2 linked regions of the Mytilus edulis genome follow. The protein of the gene in region 1 interacts with the protein of each later gene in a biochemical or structural test. Links are inferred from orthologs where the notes say so. Each region holds a gene or a part of one and is shown on either strand. Other genes may lie near its edges.

Evidence for each region.
Region 2: the proteins of DNA topoisomerase I, mitochondrial-like (region 1) and serine/arginine-rich splicing factor 1-like form a complex in vitro, tested with the Homo sapiens proteins (2 studies listed by BioGRID, with this or other methods). The link is inferred for Mytilus edulis from reciprocal best matches to the Homo sapiens genes TOP1 and SRSF1.

Annotation. Positions count from the first base shown.
Region 1 is NC_092348.1:94,547,699-94,555,484, forward strand, and holds the start of DNA topoisomerase I, mitochondrial-like, read right to left. Parts: upstream 3,008-7,786; 5' UTR 2,908-3,007; coding exon 2,866-2,907; intron 2,595-2,865; coding exon 2,561-2,594; intron 979-2,560; coding exon 80-978; intron 1-79. UniProt on the Homo sapiens protein: Releases the supercoiling and torsional tension of DNA introduced during the DNA replication and transcription by transiently cleaving and rejoining one strand of the DNA duplex.
Region 2 is NC_092349.1:62,473,773-62,481,070, reverse strand, and holds the start of serine/arginine-rich splicing factor 1-like, read right to left. Parts: upstream 3,024-7,298; 5' UTR 2,946-3,023; coding exon 2,773-2,945; intron 1-2,772. UniProt on the Homo sapiens protein: Plays a role in preventing exon skipping, ensuring the accuracy of splicing and regulating alternative splicing.

The DNA.
Region 1 (7,786 bases):
AATTTGAAAAAAAAACTATACATACAATGTACATGTATAACCTGAAAATTTGAAAGATTTACATTATAATTTTACTTACCAAAGGTACATCATCTACATCTATATCTTCATCATCATCACTCAATGTTTCTTCCTTAGGAGCTTTAGTTGGAGACATCTTTACAGGGGATGCTGGTTCACTTTTGATATCTACTTCCATAGTCTCTTTATGGATGTCTTCATTGGGTTCTTCTTTGATATTATCATATTCTTTCTGCCTCTCTACTCTGTTCTCCTTATCTTCTTTTTGTCTTTCTTTCTCTCTATGCTCTTTGTGTTTGCTAGGGGAACCATCCCTATGCTTTTCTGCAGAGCTACTGCTTGATCTGTGCTTGTCACCTGAGCTACTACTTGACTTGTGTCTGTCACTTGAGCTGCTGCTTGACTTGTGTTTGTCACCAGAACTGCTACTCGACTTATGTTTATCACCAGAACTACTACCTGATTTGTGTTTGTCACTTGAACTGCCGCTCGACTTACTAGAACTTTCTTTTTTATCTTTGCTAGAACTAGATGATGAGCTCTGTGACTTGTCTTTGGAATGACTGGAGCTTGAGCTATGTCCTTCCCTGTGCTTACTACTTGAACTACTGCCACCTTCCTTATGTTTACTACTAGAGCTGCTGCTACTAGGTTTGTTGGAAGAGCTTGATGAGCTCCCTTCCTTGCTTTTGCTACTACTTGAGCCATGTCCATCACGATGCTTGCTGCTAGAAGAACTCCCATCCTTGTGTTTGCTGCTGCTGCTGTGTTTACTGGAGCTTGAACCATCTTTATGCTTGGATGAACTGTGGGATGAGGAATGCTTTGAACTTGAGGAACTGTGGTGTCCCTCACTTTTCCTAGAAGAGTTATGGTTGCTCAAATGTCCATTCTGTTTCGACTCATCAATATGGTTCACACTGCTGGTCTCATGTAATTTAGCTTTCATTTCAGCAACTGTGAAGATAACAAATCAAGCCAATATTTCAAATGAAATTATCTTTGTACATTAAACATGTTGAAAATTGTTCTCATCTGCAGCAAAATCAAGACATTTTACAAGTTATACATACAAAATGTAGTTTGTCATGGAATTTTAACTGGTTAACTTGTAAATTCTGAAAAATATTTTTATATTTTCTTAACACTTTCACCTATGAATAACGGGTTTTATACTGGGATCTGAATACATCTTTTGTATTTCCCGCTTAAAACAGTGAAACACAAGTAAATAAAGTTATGCTTCTTTGTTTAATACCAAGATAAAAGTGTAAACATGGTGCTTCTGTTTGTTGCAAACTGTGTCACCATCAGTTGAAATTTATGGATTTAACTAGAATTTGAAATTAACAGGCTATTATTTGAACTTGGAATTATTTTTAATTATGGAATTTGCTTGATTTCTTGTTATTGAAATTTTTAAGAAATTCCATGTTTATTCTGTACTGAAATGTTCTGTGCTGTGCACAACACTTTCGATTACAAAGAAAATAGTATATTTTCAATAGAATGTACTGTGCCGCGCACAACACTATCTAACCAAAATACATTGTATGGAAAGTGTTATTAACCACTTAAAAGATTCTAATACCAAATAAACATGAAATTTATTAAAAATTTTAAACACAAGAAATTATGCAAATTCCATAATTAAAAATAATTCCAAGTTCAAATAATAGCCTATTAATTAGAGAATTTTTTTTTTAAAGAATATTGAATAATTGAAGCCAGACTAGGCTACATTTTTTTACATGAAATGTCATTTTATGTACAAAAACACTTGGAATGAACATCTTTAAATTTGTACAACCTTAAAACCTGGAAAATTTTTCAAACTTTTCTGATAATAGAGGAGACTTGACCAAAATTGAGAATTTGGGTTGAAAAGTCGAAATTTTGAGAATCCCAGCTTTTTGTTGCCTAAAATTTAAAATTTTCAATGAGAAAAAAATTATCGAGCACAAACAAAACTGTGTTCATGGACATGGTACAAGTGGATAAAATAAAAACATAAATAACTACAGACAATTTTTTTTTATATTTAATTAAAATTATCTCTACAAAATAACCTTTTTAGTTAAGAATTATCGTCAAGCAGTTTTAGGGATTTAACAGAATTCTTTTTTTTTTTTTGGGGGGGGGGGGGGGGTACATCATGTGTATACAACTGTATGTTTCTTCTTTCCTGTTTAATGTCATGTTCAGGGAATAAAAAGCCCAATTCTGTAATTTGTTTTAATCATCTTTAGACAAATTTAGTTTAGACAAACCACACTTTTTATTTTGCAAGTTTCTGCTGGGATGGCAAATAAATATGGACAACATTAAAATCCATCTTTTTTTCTTCTAATGGAAATATTTTTTTTTTTACATTTACTCATCAACAACAACACTTGTTTTTAAATATGTATGAAATCAGCAAATGATGCCAACATCGACTTACAATTGAAAAGTTCACGCTTGAGTTACCTGCCTTTACTGACTACAGTCTGGACTTAGCCATTTTGTCGATATTTCAAAGATATGCAAAAATACTCACCGCTTTGTTGGCTCTCAACGAAATCACCAGCACCCTTCAAATAAAGAAAACGAAGCAATTATATATCATCTTCAAATATACCAATTACAAAAAATTAACAACCACCTACTAATGGTTTAATTCTAAGATAAAATCGTCAAAAAAGTCAATGTTTCAAAGTCGGACTTAGAAATTTTGCGGCCATCTTGACTTTGTCATTTTCTCGGTTCTTTGTTCGAATAATTTCTGGTATGTGTACAGAGTAAAAGGCTCATCGAAAATATATGAAGATCAAAAATAATTAAAGATATATTAATTCTACATACCTCAAGCATTCCAGGTTGTTCAGTCTCCATCGGAGATTCCATTACGCAGATAGTTATTTTCTATCAGGGTCCACGTTTTATGGCGAAGCAATTTGTGCTGAAACGGCTAAGTCCATACAATTGCTGTCTGCGCATGTTTAAAAACCCCGGATTTAACCACCTGTGATTTTAATTGTAACGCGGGAATTTTAAACGCTATTTTTAAAAGTTTGCCTATGGCTAATATATAAATAATTATGTATTACTATATCAAGCTAATATTGCCGAACATAAAAGATCTTAAAGCACTAAAAAAAAAACTTGCTATTAGATATTTAGATTGGAAGGGGAGAACAATTTATTTTTGTTAACGAGAACAATTAAGAGATTTGTATAGTAGCAACAGAGACATATGATCTCACATAAGTATAAGTATTATATATACCTCTGATACTTTTTTGTATTATGCTCAGAGAAACTGGGGAAGAGCAAGGTCTCTTCTTCTTTATATACAGAAAAACATCAACCACTTGATTACTTTCTGGCGCAAGTTGTTAGGCAGCAACCATTTGATTTTCTGGAGGGGGAGGGGGGCTATGGTTTTAAAAGTTTGTTTCCAGTTTTGGGAGAAAAAAAATAATTTGTTTCTGACCCCGATAAAAAAAATTGTTTGTTACACCCTCAGCTGCCACCATATGTAATGATAAAAATTAATAGAAAAAAATTGTTTTCGACTTGTCGCCAAAAAAATAGATTGTTTTTCGCCAAAGGCGAAAAAAAGTTTTCCAGAAAAAATATCCATAGCCCCCCCCCCAAAAAAAAAAAATCAAATGGTTGCTGCCTTAATGATTAAAAATATATTTTTTAATTTCATAATAATTTTTCATTTTTTTTTTATAATTTTGGCATGTTTAATATAGGCGATTTGGTGTCACGATATCTCAGTAGCATGGGTTCGAATCCCGGGCGGCGAGGGAAGAACAAAAAATTAGCGAAAGCAAATTTACAGATCTAACATTGTTGGGTTGATGTTTAGACGAGCTGTATATGTATATATATATATAGTAGTCTCAAGTAGTACTGTCGTAACTGTTGGGCCAGGTAAGAGGAGGATTTGGCACCAGCAACTTGAACTGCAACTGTTTAATCCCACATTATTCTGCATATGCAGATCCAAGGAGCTTGAGGACCCGGCCCACTTTTCGTGGGAAAAATTTGATTGATTATATAGAGAATCACTGAAGAATGACTGGAGAGAACCCCAACATTAGATCAGTCCGTACCCCCACCGCCCCCCCCTCCCTTATGAAAAGTTCTGGATCCGCCACTGTTCTGTTATGTGCCTGTCCAAAGTCACCGAGGAGCTTGTAATACAACAGTTGTCGTGTGTTGCTGTATACCAACAAAATCGTAATACTCTTCACCTGAAGTATTGATTGTGTTTACATGGTAGTTTTTCGATTCCTTATATATTCAATAGAACTTTATGTTAGGAAGTACAGTACTGAAATACTGTCAATCCTAGTTTCAGCATTACGTATTTTCTAAAAAAAAAAAAAAAAAAAAGTAAAGAGATGTGGTATGATTGCCATGACAATCTGTTTATTGCTATTTTACCTATGACGACGTTGTCAATTGACAACGTCGTCAATTTCATGTCAATTTCATAAGCAACGCCACGTGCCTCCTTAGATTCTAGCGATTATTTTTTCATCTCAAGCGAGTAACATGATATGAAAAATTATCACAAAAAAGATCAAAGGAAAATGCACAAAATAGCGATAATTATATATACTGCATGGTTCTGTAAAATCTATATATATTAAATGCAAAAGATCTTTTTTATCACGGTTCTGCATGGAATGAAAATCATTATAAACCTGTCTTATTTGTAGTGCGTTTATCTCGCTTTTGATTTTTACCGCATGTTTGGGAGTTAGAAAAGATGTGGCTTTTGTGACACCAGGAATTCCCAATTACGAGTCATCATTTAGAATATCATGTAAGTATAAAGTTTGAATTATGGAATGATTGAAGTGTAACTGTCATCCATAATAAGGGGTACCATACCTTTGCAGTAAATACCATACCAAGCATCACAACTACCACAACAAAGTGCATCTAGCTTCCATGTTACCGCCTTTTGGTAAGTTATGGTTAGTCAATACCATACCAAGCATCACAACTACCACAACAAAGTGCATCTTACTTCCATGTTACCGCCTTTTGGTAAGTTATGGTTAGTCAATACCATACCAAGCATCACAACTACCACAACAAAGTGCATCTAGCTTCCATGTTACCGCCTTTTGGTAAGTTATGGTTAGTCAATACCATACCAAGCATCACTACTACCACAACAAAGTGCATCTGACTTCCATGTTACCGCCTTTTGGTAAGTTATGGTTAGTCAATACTATACCAAGCATCACAACTACCACAACAAAGTGCATCTTACTTCCATGTAACCGCCTTTTGGTAGGTTATGGTTAGTCAATACCATACCAAGCATCACAACTACCACAACAAAGTGCATCTGACTTCCATGTTACCGCCTTTTGGTAAGTTATGGTTAGTCAATACTATACCAAGCATCACAACTACCACAACAAAGTGCATCTTACTTCCATGTAACCGCCTTTTGGTAAGTTATGGTTAGTCAATACCATACCAAGCATCACAACTACCACAACAAAGTGCATCTTACTTCCATGTTACCGCCTTTTGGTAAGTTATGGTTAGTCAATACCATACCAAGCATCACAACTACCACAACAAAGTGCATCTTACTTCCATGTTACCGCCTTTTGGTAAGTTATGGTTAGTCAATACCATACCAAGCATTACAACTACCACAACAAAGTGCATCTTACTTCCATGTAACCGCCTTTTGGTAAGTTATGGTTAGTCAATACTATACCAAGCATCACAACTACCACAACAAAGTGCATCTTACTTCCATGTTACCGCCTTTTGGTAGGTTATGGTTAGTCAATACTATACCAAGCATCACAACTACCACAACAAAGTGCATCTTACTTCCATGTTACCGCCTTTTGGTAAGTTATGGTTAGTCAATACCATACCAAGCATCACAACTACCACAACAAAGTGCATCTTACTTCCGTGTAACCGCCTTTTGGTAAGTTATGGTTAGTCAATACCATACCAAGCATTACAACTACCACAACAAAGTGCATCTTACTTCCATGTAACCGCCTTTTGGTAAGTTATGGTTAGTCAATACCATACCAAGCATCACAACTACCACAACAAAGTGCATCTTACTTCCATGTAACCGCCTTTTGGTAAGTTATGGTTAGTCAATACCATACCAAGCATCACAACTACCACAACAAAGTGCATCTTACTTCCATGTAACCGCCTTTTGGTAAGTTATGGTTAGTCAATACCATACCAAGCATCACAACTACCACAACAAAGTGCATCTTACTTCCATGTTACCGCCTTTTGGTAAGTTATGGTTAGTCAATACCATACCAAGCATCACAACTACCACAACAAAGTGCATCTTACTTCCATGTTACCGCCTTTTGGTAAGTTATGGTTAGTCAATACCATACCAAGCATTACAACTACCACAACAAAGTGCATCTTACTTCCATGTAATCGCCTTTTGGTAAGTTATGGTTAGTCAATACCATACCAAGCATCACAACTACCACAACAAAGTGCATCTTACTTCCATGTTACCGCCTTTTGGTAAGTTATGGTTAGTCAATACCATACCAAGCATTACAACTACCACAACAAAGTGCATCTTACTTCCATGTTACCGCCTTTTGGTAAGTTATGGTTAGTCAATACCATACCAAGCATCACTACTACCACAACAAAGTGCATCTTACTTCCATGTTACCGCCTTTTGGTAAGTTATGGTTAGTCAATACCATACCAAGCATTACAACTACCACAACAAAGTGCATCTTACTTCCATGTAACCGCCTTTTGGTAAGTTATGGTTAGTCAATACCATACCAAGCATCACAACTACCACAACAAAGTGCATCTTACTTCCATGTAACCGCCTTTTGGTAAGTTATGGTTAGTCAATACCATACCAAGCATCACAACTACCACAACAAAGTGCATCTTACTTCCATGTTACCGCCTTTTGGTAAGTTATGGTTAGTCAATACCATACCAAGCATCACTACTACCACAACAAAGTGCATCTTACTTCCATGTAACCGCCTTTTGGTAGGTTATGGTTAGTCAATACCATACCAAGCATCACAACTACCACAACAAAGTGCATCTTACTTCCATGTTACCGCCTTTTGGTAAGTTATGGTTAGTCAATACCATACCAAGCATCACAACTACCACAACAAAGTGCACCTTACTTCCATGTAACCGCCTTTTGGTAAGTTATGGTTAGTCAATACCATACCAAGCATCACAACTACCACAACAAAGTGCATCTTACTTCCATGTAACCGCCTTTTGGTAAGTTATGGTTAGTCAATACCATACCAAGCATCACAACTACCACAACAAAGTGCATCTTACTTCCATGTAACCGCCTTTTGGTAAGTTATGGTTAGTCAATACCATACCAAGCATTACAACTACCACAACAAAGTGCATCTTGCTTCCATGTTACCGCCTTTTGGTAAGTTATGGTTAGTCAATACCATACCAAGCATCACAACTACCACAACAAAGTGCATCTTACTTCCATGTAACCGCCTTTTGGTAAGTTATGGTTAGTCAATACTATACCAAGCATCACAACTACCACAACAAAGTGCATCTTACTTCCATGTTACCGCCTTTTGGTAAGTTATGGTTAGTCAATACCATACCAAGCATCACAACTACCACAACAAAGTGCATCTTACTTCCATGTAACCGCCTTTTGGTAAGTTATGGTTAGTCAATACTATACCAAGCATCACAACAACCACAACAAAGTGCA
Region 2 (7,298 bases), on another chromosome or scaffold:
AGAAACGTAATGACAGAAAGTTGGAAAACCATTATAAACTCGTTGAAGACATTGTTTTACTTGTTTTCTGTAAAATAAACAGAAAATTCAGACGTATTTGTCATTGACTGCCTTCATTTTTGATACGAAAATAACAAAATCGGCTGCCATATTGTGATCATATTTACATCATATTTACGTACTGTTTATAATCCTCCAAAGAAGGAGCACACCCGAATAAAGAAAGATAACTCAATCTGATTTTTTTCCTAGCATTGAGTAACCCATTTACATATTCTAAAATGTGTCTCCATACTTCTTGCTTAAGAATATATATGTTTAGGTATTTATTTTGAGTTATGGGAAAAGTTAAAGAGGGTCTTAGTAGCAGTGTTTGTAGGGTGCCTTGGTCATCTTTTTCTGTATTCTTTATTTTTGATACTATTTTTCACTGTTGCTTTATATCCTAAAATTGTGAATTTACTGAGCACAGCTGTTTTGTGCTGTATTGCCATCAAGCACAGCAGGGGTAGAAAGGTGAAACTGGTAAAATGTGGTAGACCATAGAAACAGTATGAAACAGATCTCCTTTCAAAACATACTGCATATAAAGTTCAACTGTGCCAAGCAATGATAAAAAAAACTTGTGTGACAAGCTGCTTGACAAGTTTTTCAGCCTTAAAAGTAGAAAGATAGAGTTCTATATGGGCTAAAGATGTTGTTCTTGTATAACCTGTGATTCAACGAATAAACACAAATGTTTGATTAACATCTTTTATTAAAATATGCCCTTTTCATATTATCATATCGCGCGTTAAATGCCCTTTTTCAGGATTGGCACCCTGCCCTTTTGAAAACCTAGCTGGAACACTGTGACTGATTCACTTGCAAGTGAAAACGTCATCATCATTCTAACCGGTATTCATGTGAACTTCAAGTTAAGGTTCATCATAACCTTTTGGCTAAAATGGCCGTATTTACACCCCAAATTTTACTCTGAGTACAGACTAACCTATACACCTGCAACAGTTTTAAGGGATGGCAGGAACTAGATATATAAATTTTAAATGCATTTTATGTTTCAGAAAATTATAAACTTTTCTAGATTTTGCTATCCATTTTTTTTCGTTCCTGCAGAAGGTGCAAAAATTAACTAAGTAGTGAAAACGATTGAGAAGCTCCACTCATATAATCAATGTTGTGAGTAGTATTGATTTAAATGGACAATAGATGGACAAGACACCTGTAAACAATAGGTTATTTAACAGGTTTAAACTGTGTAACTGAGTGGACCGTATCAAATGAAACTCGGGTGTTTGTTTATTTTGCTATCTTCTGCAGACTGGAAAAAAATGAACATCAAAATCCAGGTAAGTTTTTAATTTTCTGAAACGAAGACTTCATATAACTTTTATATATCTAGTTCCTGCCATGCCTTAAAACTTTCCTGGATGTACCAGTTTGTCTGTACTCATAGTAATTTTGGAGGTGTAAACACGGCCATATTTTTCAATTCCTTATGATGAACCTTAACCCCTAGCTAGAGATTGACAACGCATGCGTTGTACGTGTACTGGTTATTTAAAGAAAAAGAATGTCAACAATGAAAGTGAAACTACGGTAAATCATTTGATTACTAATTCGATGCACATAAAGTCATTCTTATATGGTTAAAAACAATGAGAAACATCTATTTTTAATCTATAAAATAAAATCAAACAGACCTATAAAAATGCAATTGCACGTGTTGGTTTAATCTATTCGTATCTTAATTTTTGTTTACATCGCTAATATGGTCATCTGAGGTCAAATCGATAGTTAATTAGATGGCGTCTGGACTAAAATACACACGAAACGAACCTATATATTATCTACCCCATGCTCTGTAAACTGCTTATTTTAGACTTTTGATAGTTTGGATAAATGTTTTACATTGTTATAAACCAAATATGAGAATTTGAGTCAAATCGGTTACAATGAATTTGACAGCTAGTGCCCCTTTAAAAACACTCATTTAAACAATTTTCTTGCCTAAAATGACTATATGTGCACATTTGAGGGTCTATTTATGTATCATCACAGGGTCTTATTTCAAAGCAGGGTTTGACTCTTGAAAATGGGTCTGTAAATTGAAGTTTCAGTCATATTCATGATTTTAAATTTCCCAATTTGATGAAAATGACGCATATTTTCCCAATAAAAAGGGTAACTAGAGGTAGTTTTGAAAAAAGCCAACAATATCGCTGGCAGTGTTGTAATTTTCTAGGGTTTCATGTTTAGATGGAAGGTCTGCTCTGACAAATTTTTACCAATTGAGGTAACGATAATTTTATGAGACCTCTGACGATTCACGATATAAAAGGATATTTCGAACGAATCACGGTAAAACCAATGACACCAACTGATGCCTAAAATGACTGTTCAGTCTTCACTCTGAACTGCTAAATCTACAGGCCCACAGCTCAATTTTTGAAAATTTTTAGTTATATTCTGTTGGCCTGTAGGTCTGATTTTTACAGGCCAAGAGCAATTTTACCAGCCTGGGCTGCCACTTGTCGTGAAGACTGACTATTTGACGACTGACAGTAAAATTACTACAGTAGACAGTACCTTCATGAATAGAAACAAGTGCCTGTGATTTTTAATATTATTATTAGTAAATACTCTCTTACTCAGTTTTACATGTAAATATGGCTATGAGCACAGCCACAATACAAGTAGGTTTACACCTTGAAATTGCCAAGAAAAAATATTGACAGTTTTAAATTTAAATAAACTAAACAAAGTGTTTACCGTGGGTCCTCAAATTCAACAAAGGCAAAAGGGGGCCCTCGTCTTGTTTTCAAGTCAACAAAGTTAATTCGTCCAAATTTATAAAATAAATCTTCAATGTCTCTAGCTCTTATATCAGGTGGGAGATTGCCAACATAAATTCTGGAATCATTTGATGGTCGTCCGTAAGACATGCTTCGTTTTCTTTTCCTACGGCTGACGTGTTGTGAAAAATGGCGAAGAAAGATAGCGTTGGTTTCTAAAACGAGGCAGAATACGTGATCAAGACTAACTTCCTCATTCATATTGTAAAAATAAATGCACCACAACGTACCTTATATCAGAAAGTGACTACTTTTATACAAGGATTTGTATAGTAAGTTCTTACTATACAAATCCTTGTTTTATATAAACAAAAATCCTGTATCTTTTTTAAATATTAATAATTCATTTATTACAGCCGATTGCATTGAGTGTGTAGGGTAAGGTATATATTTGTTCCACCTAACAGAAGTTCCAATGGAAACTTTGTTATAAATATTGTAATTATATCTATTCCTGTTGGAACAAATATTCTATACCATTTATTCCGTTGGGAACATATACTGTAATATATTTATTCCTTTGGAAATTGTGTTCCAGAATATTTTTTTCTTTTTTGGAACTTATATTATGAAGGAACTTCCATTCTGTGACAGTAAACTTGGTTAGCTTGCTTGTTAGCTGAACCATGAATTCATTATTAGGTTAGCTCTGAGATTTAGGTCATGTAAGGTATAGTAATATAGGGTTATTGCATGAATATTGGGGAATATTGTCCCGAGTAGAATTTTATATTGCACGAGCTTGCGAGTGCAATATATGTTCTACGAGGGACAATATTCCCCAATATTCATGCAATAACCCTTTTATTGTATAGCAATATAATATTTAAAAGTAAAAATTGGTTTAAACTAAGATTTTGTCGTTGATGATGTCATGAATTTTGAAGATTTATTGCACTAGTGCAATATTAGAATTTATTGCACGCTAACTTTTGGTTACTTTCTGTGGGAAATATTATATTGCTATACAATAATACTACTTCTTTCGAAGTAGTCTAGTCCTACAGACAGATAGATTGGTTGTCTGTCGGACTAGTCTACTCTTAAAGGAGGATAGTTTACCTATTAAACATGTTAAACTTAATAATGACTGCACGGTTCAGCTAACAGGTAAGCTAACCAAGGATTTAACCTTTCCATACTCACTCAATGAAATCGAATGTAATATTGAAAACTCATTTATTATTATTAAAAATCATTTATTTATGACAAAAATCTTTTTTTAATATTGAAAAATCATTTTTTTGATAGTGAAAAATCATTTTTTTGATAGTGAAAAATCATTTTTTTAATATCAATAAATGATAATCACTAGATGGCTATTGGTACTTTACGGAACGGAACGGAATTTCATTTAAGGTATCCAAAGGGGGCATTTATCAAAATTTCGAAAAATCTTTAAAACAAAACAAACTTTAAAATTTCTGTGTTTTACGGTTTTCCATATACAAATAACACAAATGTATACTTAATCTCATCTTCACAGGTGAAATGTGTAATAATGTATAACATCGGGAAATATTCTGTAGATGAATATGTCGCCGGGATTGTCGTGATAAATTATCATGAAATTAACGCATTTGCAAGTCATGCATTATGATATCTAGACTGACCTCACGTCGTCCTTGATTAGAGACAGTGATCAAGTTGAATCTGATTTAAACTTTTTAATTTATTTTCCGTTCCGTTCCGTTCCGCAAAGTACCAATTGCTCTGAGGAATTGGTATTTAACGGAAAAAACGGAAACAGACATCTGTAATGTAATAAAAGCAGTATGATAACAAAAATTGTCTGACACCTCTTTTTGCATGAGTGGTATGTGTTTTAGATAGCATTTTCGACTTGATCAATAATAATAAAAAATTAACACAAAGGCAGGTTACACAAAAAGTCTTTCTCCTTCCATCGGTAATTATATTTTAAAAAAGAGGCCTTCAACAGCCCGTTCCGACGATGATTAGAGACAGTGATCAAGTTGAATCTGATTTAAACTTTTTAATTTATTTTTCCGTTCCGTTCCGTTCCGCAAAGTACCAATTGCTCTGAGGAATTGGTATTTAACGGAAAAAACGGAAACAGACATCTGTAATGTAATAAAAGCAGTATGATAACAAAAATTGTCTGACACCTCTTTTTGCATGAGTGGTATGTGTTTTAGATAGCATTTTCGACTTGATCAATAATAAAAAAAAATTAACACAAAGGCAGGTTACACAAAAAGTCTTTCTCCTTCCATCGGTAATTATATTTTAAAAAAGAGGCCTTCAACAGCCCGTTCCGACGATGATTAGAGACAGTGATCAAGTTGACTCTGATTTAAACTTTTTAATTTATTTTTCCGTTCCGCAAAGTACCAATTGTTCTGAGGAATTGGTATTTAACGGAATCAACGGAAACAGACATCTATAATGTAATAAAAGCAGTATGATAAAAACAAGTCAGACCCTTCTTTTTTGAATGAGTGGTAAGTGTTTTAGATAACATTTCGACTTGATCAATATTTAGATAAACAGCTGCGCCATGAGCGCATGATACGCCCGTCGTCTTGTGAAAAAACATAAATCTTTTTTGAATAACACAGGGTTGTACAGGATGTCATGCTTAGTATATCCTGACTCATTCCTTATTCCCGCTCAATAGGAAGATTGTACAAGATGTATTTGGAAACCCGACGCAACATTAGCCTGTTAAGTTTTAAGCAATAGAGATACAGCTCAACATGTGAAAAAAAAATCTCTTTTTTTACAAAAAAACTCAATAACTCGAAAATATAAAAATGAATCATCACCAAAAAGTATACAGATCTTTAGATTAATATAACAAAGAAGTGTGTAAAGTTTTAAGCAATAATCATAAATCGTTTTTGAGATATGGTGCGACATGTAACCCCCCCCCCCCCCCTTTTTATTTTACAAAATACTCAATAACTCAAAAATGAAATTTTGAATCATCACCAAAAAGTATACAGATATTAAGATTAATATAACTAAGAAGCATTTAAAGTTTTAAGCCATGATCAAGAATCGTTTTTGAGATACGGTGCGACATGTGAAAAAAACACACCCCTGTTTTAGTTACAAAGTGCCATAACTCAAAAAGTTGTAATCTTATTTTCACAAAAAAGTATACAGATCATTTGACCATCATAAGAAACAACTATGTTAAGTTTCATGAAATTTGGATAAGTCGTTCTCAAGTTACGGTGCGACATGTTTACACCGGACAGACGGACAGACGGACGGACGGACGGACGGACGGACGGACGGACGGACGGACGGACACTGGACATTTGTATACCATAATACGTCCCGTCAAAATTGACGGACGTATAAAAAATATCACAAAGACAGGTTAGACAAAAGGTCTTTCTACTTCCATTGGTAATTATAAATTAAAAAAGGGGCCTTCCGAAGATGATAAGAAACAGTGATCCCCATTTCCATTCTCAATTTTATATTAGAAACAAGGTCTCATAAATATTAAAACATATGTTTAAAATATATCTTTATAAAAATATGAGCACTAAACACTGGTTTACACTATAATAAAAAAATGTTTGCAAATTGTTAAAACATTTTCGGATTTATCAAAGCACTATAAAAAATGGTAACTCCTTAAAAGTCATAAAACCACAATAATAACTGCTGTTAATCAAAGTATTTATAAAAACTAAAAGTCTGTTCTGTTACAAAACCTATAGGCAAAGGTCTTACTATAATATCAGCGGGAAATTTCGGTTCTAGAGGTGCATTCCGTATTTAATCTGTTTTTTTTTTTCTCCTATCTCCTGACGACAGCTGGTGTGTCCGTAGATATTGTTTAAATTTTCTATATTTTCACTTTTTAATTAGTTTACCTGCACAATGGCGCAGAAGCAATATTTATTTTTTGGCGCAAATGAAAAACTACAACTTTTAAGAATTGGCGCAAAAGCAATGCGTACTTAAATATCAATCAAATTTGACCGTGCCCACAAAACGATTGTTCAAATTACGAATAGTTTCAGCTTAAAATCCATGGCACTCTAAAATGTAGATTTTTTAAATCACATAAATTCCATATCGATATACGTATATTTGGATCTATGCAATATGTTTATCTGGACATCAGCATGCTAGCTTAGTTCCGTCATTTCAATAACAGGGATGGCAATATGTTTGATTGATCTAACCATACGTTAACCAGTGTCCTTTGAATACAGTGATCATGTATGATGTGAAATTTTTTTTCTATAGACATAGGTAGATTTGATTAATCCAAATAATATAGGTATAAAGCATACCGGTGTCCATGCAATTCATAATGCAAAACAACAATATATAGAAATAAATTATGGTTTTTTTTATGAAATGTATGTGCTTATGCAACATTATCAAACTGCTGTAATGCATTAGTTATAAACTTTGAAAGAACCGATGACTTTTCATTCGTTTTTAAACTCA